Linked DNA regions of Sus scrofa. The protein of the gene in region 1 interacts with the protein of each later gene in a pairwise test. Links are inferred from orthologs where the notes say so. Each region holds a gene or a part of one and is shown in the gene's direction. Other genes may lie near its edges.

Evidence for each region.
Region 2: the proteins of USP54 (region 1) and ATXN1L interact in binary tests that used the Homo sapiens proteins (3 or more experiments, as listed by UniProt). The link is inferred for Sus scrofa from reciprocal best matches to the Homo sapiens genes USP54 and ATXN1L.

What each region holds. Positions count from the first base shown.
Region 1 is NC_010456.5:76,437,043-76,441,020, reverse strand, and holds the start of USP54 (inactive ubiquitin carboxyl-terminal hydrolase 54), read left to right. Parts: upstream 1-1,178; 5' UTR 1,179-1,682; intron 1,683-1,768; exon of another isoform or gene 1,769-1,802; intron 1,803-3,978.
Region 2 is NC_010448.4:14,835,352-14,839,531, forward strand, and holds the start of ATXN1L (ataxin-1-like), read left to right. Parts: upstream 1-1,380; 5' UTR 1,381-1,507; intron 1,508-3,911; 5' UTR 3,912-3,979; intron 3,980-4,180. UniProt on the Homo sapiens protein: Chromatin-binding factor that repress Notch signaling in the absence of Notch intracellular domain by acting as a CBF1 corepressor. Binds to the HEY promoter and might assist, along with NCOR2, RBPJ-mediated repression.

The sequences.
Region 1 (3,978 bases):
ATGCCCATAATAATATGCCTCTGAAATTGCCCAGATAATGTATTCCTTGGGATAGGGTCTACCGCTTTGCTGTCTAAAACTGTAGTTACTAGTCACTTGTGGCTATTGTGCTCTTGAGATATGCTTAGCCTAAAAACACTGGATTTTGAAGATTCAATATGAAAACAGGAACATAAGGAGTTCTGTGGAGCAGTGGGTTAAGGATATGGCATTATCACTGAAGCAGCTTGGTAACTTCCACATGCCATGGATGCAGCCAAAAAGAAAAAAAAAAAGGAACATAAAATATCTCCTTAATAACTTCAAAGTATTGGGAGTTCCCGACATGGCTCAGTGGAAACAAATCTGACGTATCCATGAGGACGCAGGTTCGATTCCTGGCCTTGCTCAGTGGGTTAAGGATTCTGCCTTGCCATGAGCTGTGGTCACTGATGCAGCTTAGATCTGGCTGTGATGTAGGTCAGCTCAGATTCAACCCCTAGTCTTGGAATTTCTATATGCCGCACGTGAGGCCCTAAAAAGACCAAAATAATAATGATAATAATAACAATTTTGAAGTATTGATTACACGTTGAAATATTTTGAGCTTAAATGAGTTACTAAATATCATTTTTTAAAATTTATTTTGCTTTTTAGGGCTGTACCTGGGGCACAGGGAAGTGCCCAGCCTAGGGGTCCAATTGGAGCTGCAGATGCCACAATCACAGCAACATGGGATCTGAGCTGCATCTGCGATTTGCACAGCTCAGGGCAACAGGGGATCCTTAACCTACTAAGGAGGCCAGGGATCAAACCGAGTCCTCACGGATACTAATCAGGTTCCTTAACCACTGAGCCATGACAGGAACTCCTTTATATTCATCTTCTGTTTCAACATCTTAGTCTGCATTTACTGCTGACAGCAGAAAGCCTTTACAACTAGGTGTTGAGGGAGTCATCAGGTAAGGATGTGCCCACAGGGTGGCAAGCAACAACTGCAAAGTTCAGACCACACACCAACCAGCATGGCACTCCTTCGGCACGCAAGGCCAAACACCTGTGCTTATGTTCGATTAAAAAACAAAACAAAACATATTTATTTCCGATTTTGTTCTGGTGAATTGATGGGGGTGGAGAACCCGTGGATAAACAAACATTTCTGCGAATTCAAATACCATTCACAAACCAGGGTAGGGGAAGAAAGGATGGATATTTCCTGAAGGAAGGTTAACGTGGAGAATAGGTCAATTCCCGGCTTGCTCACTCAATCTCTACTCTGGGTGGAGAAATAAAATGCCAGGAATTCGGAACTTCAGCTAAAGGCAACACTGCTCTAAGTTCGAGGCACTGGGAAAAGAGGGCCACATTCCTAAAGTTATTCCAGTGTAAAACTTCGCCGTACTAACTTCCTCCAGCCCTGCCTGCAATTGTTCTTCGATTCTCCCGCCAGCTCAAGATCCTTCCCCGCCTTCGTCCACCTCCAGACCTTTCCAGGCCACCTCTGAAGCGCCTCGCGGACGCCATCTTACACAACACTATCGCGAGATATACTTAGCCGTCTCGAGCCTGACTCGTTTACTTTCTTGCGAGAAGCTCTTCCCTGCTGTTCTCGCCGTAGCTAAAGAAAGTGTCGCGAGAGCTGGTTGCCTTGGCTCCCTGTAGCTATAGCAGCCGCGGCGGTTAAGGATGCGGTGGCAGAAGCGGTGAGTGCGACACCCTCAGGGGGGCGGGGCCGGAGGTAACGGGGTGCTGGGGGTAGCGCCTAGGGAGGGGGTGGGGAAGGTCGGGTCGCGGGAGGAATGGGCCCGAGTGTGACGTGTGGGGTAGGACGCGGGTCTTGTGGGTATAGGGACAGGGCGCCGGTCTGCACTAGGGCACGCGGGAGGGCTGGAGCTGCCGGGAGGTCCCGGAGGAAGGGACCCGGGTGTAGTAGGGCTCAAGGGGCAGGGGCGGGAGTGTAGAAGGGTGTGTGTGTGTGTGTTCTGTGTGTTGGGAGCAAGATGGTTATGGGACTCCAAATTGGATAATGAGACCAGGCTACACTGGGAATAAGTGGGGAGAAGCGGGGTACAGCCAGGTGGAGGCTATGTTGAATGGGAGCCCAGAGGTTGGGCCCGGTTTGCTTTGCCCTAGCGGATATGGGGGGTTGCGGTGTCAGACCATCGCAGTTTCCTGGGGTCCGCATGAGGATGGTGGGGGACTGCGCGCTAGGACCTAAAATGCATGGCGGGAGTGGTGGTGTCCCGGACCTTCACCGCCCCTTCCAAAGAAATCCTTCACGCACTCTGAGATGTGAAAGGAGAGTCCTGCTGAAATAGTATTAGTTGGGAAGCTTCTTTGGGTGGAAAGACTGTGAGTGGGAGAATGAATGATTTCTGCTCTGAAATAAAGTGTGGGATGGGGGCGGGAGAGAGAAATTCCTGAGAAAAAAACGATGTGCTTCTTCTGAATCGTATTGAGTTGGAAGAAGGGGGTGTGTGTTGAGCTCACGTTTCTTCCCAGATTCATTCAAGTGTAGAATTCTTTTACGGTATACTTATGAATTTATATATGCAGTGTAAAAATCAGTTTAGATGATGCAGTAAAAGAATGTGTAGTACTACATTTAAACCTTAACTCAAATGTAATTTAAAAACTAAGAAAAGTGTTTCTGTTGCAGCAGTACCAGGCTGAACACCAGGGATAGTTTTAGTGCTGGAATATAAAAACCTAGTGTTCCGAAAGTGTGCCTACTCAGATTGTTTGCCTTTTAGAAAATAAAGTTTTATTTTAGGAGACAGGGTTTTGAATATCTGTTAATAAAAGGAGTCTTCCAGGAGTTAAAAATCACTGAGAGATCAAAACATTTACTCTCAGTCTCAAAGACTATTTTATAGAGACAAGTTTGGACCACTTTGCTGTTAACTCTTATTTCTAGTGAAAACAATGGCTTCAGTTCAGGCATAAAAATAATTTATTTCAATGTGCAGATATAAGCTTTTTGATAATTTTTTTCTCACTATCTTTTGTAGGTATAAATTTGCAGGACATAACCTCTCTTTTGATTATGTAACTGAATTTTTCCATGTTGAGGTTCACAAATTCATTAGTTAAAAAAATGGATTTTAATACTTCTGTAGCTAGCCTTGATGTGGTTAGTCATTGAACCTATGTATTTTATATGTGTTAGACTAAAACTTTTAGTTTGTAATTTTAGTAGCTGAGCTTTAAAGTTGAAGTGCTTTTCTGAAGCAAGATAAAGCTTTATGTGGTTGGGTCCAAATGATTTCTCCATGAATCCATTGACGAGCTTTACCGAGTTCCTGTTATGTGTAGAGTATTGTGTGAGGCATTGCAAAGGGAGAAGAAAGATTAATTCATTCATTTATCCATTCAACAAACATTTATTGAGAGCTATTTTGTGTCTGATTTCCAAGCCTTCAGGATACAAGTAAGCTTTGCTCTTTGCCTTAGAATTTCTCAGGACTTTAGGAAGGAGAGAAGGAGTAACAAATCATTACAATGTAGTAAACACAAGACACATGTGAACACAGGTTATGAAACAAGGTTCTGGCTCTGGGAGTTTACAAAGTAGTTGACCAGACTAAAATGGAAGAATTTTTTAATATTACTAAATAATAAGCAAATTCTAAACTATGCTGTATTAATAAAACACAAACCATGTTTCTCGAAAGAGATAAAGATTAGAATGGAAGCTTGAGAAAATTCACGGGTCGGTTAATAATTTAATAGTCTTTAGTCTTTTTATAGTACTCATTTTGCTTTTTAGGACCGCACCTGCAGCATATGAAGGTTCTCAAACTAGGGGTTGAATTGGAGCTGCAGCTGCCAGCCCACCAGCCCATGGCAACGCTGTATAGAGGCCAGGGGTCCATCCTGCATCCTCATGGATACCAGCCGGATTCGTTATTGCTGAGCCACAAGGAACTCCTAAAGTACTCTTTTAAAATAAACATCACTGAACATTCTTTTTTTTTTTTGTCTTTTTGCTATTTATTG
Region 2 (4,180 bases), on another chromosome or scaffold:
AGAAAAAGTGGAGGAGTTCACGCCGTGGTGTAGCAGAAACGAATCCAGCTAAGAACCATGAGGTTTCCGGTGCAATCCCTGGCTTCACTCAGTGGGTCGGGAATCTGGCATTGTCGTGAGCTGTGGTGTAGGTCACAGATGCAGCTTGGATCTGGTGTTGCTGTGGCACTGGCTGGCAGCTGTAGCTCCAAGTAGATCCCTAGCCTGGGAACCTCCATATGCCATAGGTGTGGCCATAAAAAAGCAAAAAAAAAAAGGGGAAAAAAAGAAAAAGTGGAAAAACCCAAGTCTCAAATAGTAAAATGACCCCCCCCCAGGGCCGCTCTCCACTGTATATGAAGGGGTCCAATTGGAGTTGTAGACCCCAACCTACACCAGAGCCACAGAAACACCACATCTGAACCACGTTTGCAACCTACAACCACACCTCATGGAAATGCCAGATTCTTAACCTGCTGAGCAAGACCAGGGATCAAACCTGCAACCTCATGGTTCCTAGTCAGATTCATTAACCACTGCACCACCACAGGAACTCTGTAAAGCAACTTTCGTAAGGCTGGATAGTACTTTCAAAATCAAACAAAAGTCAGCTACTACTTACTGCACAAAATTTGCAGCAACTGAAAAGGGGAAAATCTACTCAGAATCCAATCTCTCCAATAGCTAAAGTTATTTTTTTCTCAGCCCAGCTTCTGTCTGGACGCAGAACTACTTTTCGTACATAGTTGTAATCAAAGCACATGTTCAACTGATGTTAATTTTTTTCCACTTAAGTTAATCAGATGTTTATATAAAGTCGACTAGTTAACTGGCAAGGAAGGGTGACCTAATAATAGCTCATGGAGTACTCAGGCCCTCTTGCCACTAAATTAGGCTGCTTGCCATCGTAACTAGCTAACCCCCTTCCTCTCATTCCTCAAGACATTCTAGTCAGTAGCTTCACCTTCCCCTGAATCCTGGGTTCTGTCCATTCTCATCCCTCTCAGAGCCATTTCTAACTCCTAAATCTCTAGGGGAATCCCTTTACTCTCCTGGGCCGGGCTTGTCTCAAAGTTTCCCGAGGTTCCCAAGAAGAGCTTCACAAGACTGTCCAGGAAATGAGGATCGCTGACCACCACGCCTCAGGGCTCTTTTTGTAGCCCCCAAAGTTTATTGAGTAGAGACTGCAGGGTCATTGTAGGGTCAGGGTGAGGACGCCTGGCCAGGCCCTATTCACGTGACCGGACCCAGGAGGAGGAGTTCGTTTTCCCACCAGAGGGGGCGCTGGGGGCAATGGGCGGGTAGCCAGCCTCCTCCCTTCCCCGGTACTCCGGGCATTGCTCGCCAGTCCGGGTCGTGACGTAATCTCCCCGCGCCGGGGGCGGTACGCGCTTGACGCCATCTCCGGGCGCCCGGCTGGGGGGGCGCTGGGTGTGGGGCGGCTCCGGCGCCGGGGATGGCGGCGGCCGCGGTTGCGGCGGCTCCGGGACAAGAGGGAGGAGCCCGGGGAGCGCCGTGAGATGGGCCGGTGAGTGTCGCCGGGAGTGGGGGCTACCGAGTCGGCCTTACTGCGGCCAATGAGGCCTGGGCTCGCAGCTCTGGAGGAAGTGGCCCCCCGGAGCCGGTTGCCCCGCGGACCGAGGGAGCGAAAGAGGCCGCGCCTAGACCCCCGACCGCTTCTCACTGGCCCGGCCCAGAGAGCGGCCCCAGGCTGTGTCCCTGTGGGCCGAGGTATCCGAGTCCTGGGGGCGGGAAGCTGCCCCCAAACAAGGAAGCATTGCCTGCGGGGCCTCGCCCCTGCCCCTCTGCCTGAAAGGTCGACCCCGACTTTCTGACCGCAGATTTCCCAAATTCGGGCCCTTCCTCTGTTGTTGAGAGGACTGAGGGTTCACGGGAAGCCATAACCCCTGGTCTCTTCTAAGCTCCTCTCTTTCTGGCGGGCGCACCTCTCTCAGCGAATTCGAGTCTTAGGCTGGGATCAGCCTCTTGATTCCGGGCTCTGCTGGCAGTGTTGGCAGTTCTCCGGAATGGTCCCCCTTTCCTGTTAGCTCGGTTGGGCTCGCAAGTTAGGTCTTCCCCTGGAGAAATCCTCATTGAGCCCCTACAGTGACGAGGTTTCAGATTCCGAAATGTGTTTTGCCGTCGTGGGAACCTGGTGCTCAGGCTTGGCTCTTTGTTGTCATTCCCGCAGACCTTTTGCCTCTTTCAGTCCTTTTATTAGCTTGTGATTGGCTAACCCCTCAGTGACCTAGAGGCAGGTTTTCTTTAATATTTTAATTGTATGGAGCAAGGATCATTCTGGGATTGAATGTGTGACCCCAGTTTCTCTTGGAAATGAGGGAGAAAGCTAACTGCTTTTCACTTACTGGAACTGCTGGCAAAGAGGGTATACAGACTGTGCCCACTGTGAAAAGTTGTGTTTATGGAACCAAAGATTTGTGTTTCTACCTTGTTTTCCTGTCTTGTCGCATTTATTGTACCCACGCACCGTGTAGATCTTGAGAGAAATGTCTTCAGTTTGGTTTGAGGCTTGCAGGGTTCTGTAGGACTTGGACAGCACAGTGGGTAGTTTCTCCAAGTACTGGTCAGTGCTGCTTTCTCTGTTTTCAGAGGTTAAGACTCTCTTCTTCAGTGCTTATTGTTTCTGGTGTGTGAAGATTCAGATATTGACAGCTTAACATGAATTTTGTTTCCCCATTGTTAGCTAGGTGAGGATGAAGGCAATGCTTTCAGTTTGTGTCACACTTGATTCAGCACTTAGTACAAAGTTGTCACTTAGAAAATTTTACACATGCACACACACACAGGAACCTGTTATTTTTTTTTTTAAACCCTGGAAATCTGTTAATAATGCTTCCTCTTGAGTGACTCCCCCTTGACCTCTTTTTCTGCCCCAGAAACATAAATAATTGTTCTTTTTCCTCTAGTACCGCTTTTCTCGTTTAAATAACCTCCACGTCTGTGTTTTCAACAGTGCTGAATCAAGTGAAATCCATGAGGTTGATTTTTCCTGCTTCCCTTTGTTCACATGGACACAATTTGAGTCTTCCACATTTATTTGTGCATTTACCTAAAATTGGGATTGGAAGTAAATTTAATCTTTGGGAATAGGTACAGATAGAGAATGACGAATACGATGTAGTTCTCATCATGGCTCACTGGTGACAAACCCCCCCTAGTATCCAAGAGGAGGCAGGTTTGATCCCTGGCCTCACTCAGTGGGTTAAATATCCGGCTTTGGTGTGAGCTGTGGTGTAGGACCCAGACGAGGCTCGGATCCCACATTGCTCTGCCTGTGGTGTAGGCCAGCAGCTACAGCTCCGATTCCACCCCTAGCCTGTGCACTTCCATATGCTTTGGGTGTGGCCCTCAAAAGGCAAAAAAAAAAAAAAAAAAGAATATGATGTTAATGAAAGCAGTGAAGTTTGACAGGTGGAAAATTTTTCGCAGGGATGTCTTCCTACAAATTAGAGCTTACTGGATGGCTTTTTCTCTGTTCAACTGCCTGGGCACTCTGGATAAATGTGCTGTTAACTCTGGAGAAAAGGACATGTCAGGGACTCCTAGACTTTTAATATCTTTGTGGTTTTTTTACCTTTCTTGATGATCCTGGAGAGGGTTAGATGCTAGACTCCTGCTTACTTTTTCTCTTTCCTTTTTTTTTTTTTTTTTTAGGGCCGTACCCACAGCATATGGAAGTTCCCAGGCTAGGGGTCTGATCGGAGCTGCAGCTGCCAGCCTGTGCCACAACCACAGCAATGCAGGATCTGAGCCATGTCTGTGACCTACACCACAGCTCACGGCAAACGCTTAACCCACTGAGCAAGGCCAGGGATTGAACCAGCATCCTCCCGGATACTAGTAGGGTTCGTTGACCATTGAGCCATGACGGGAACTCCCTTGCTTACTTTATTTCTATTTCTGTCTTTTAGACTCCCAAGCCAGTGGGGAGGACACTGCTTCTTACTACAGCTGCTCAGAAGCACCACTGGAAGCTCAGGTAACACAGATGCTTTGGATACCTTGTTGTAGAGAAACATCTGAAATTCAGCAGTGGAAAAACCAAACAGTGTAATATCATAGAAATCTCTTTGAAGATCCAAAGACCTGAAGCCTGATTAGAAGAAATAGGTGACAAATTTCATATGGGTTGAAGCATTCAGACCAAAAAGACACTTTATTGCAATGGAAAAAAGCATGT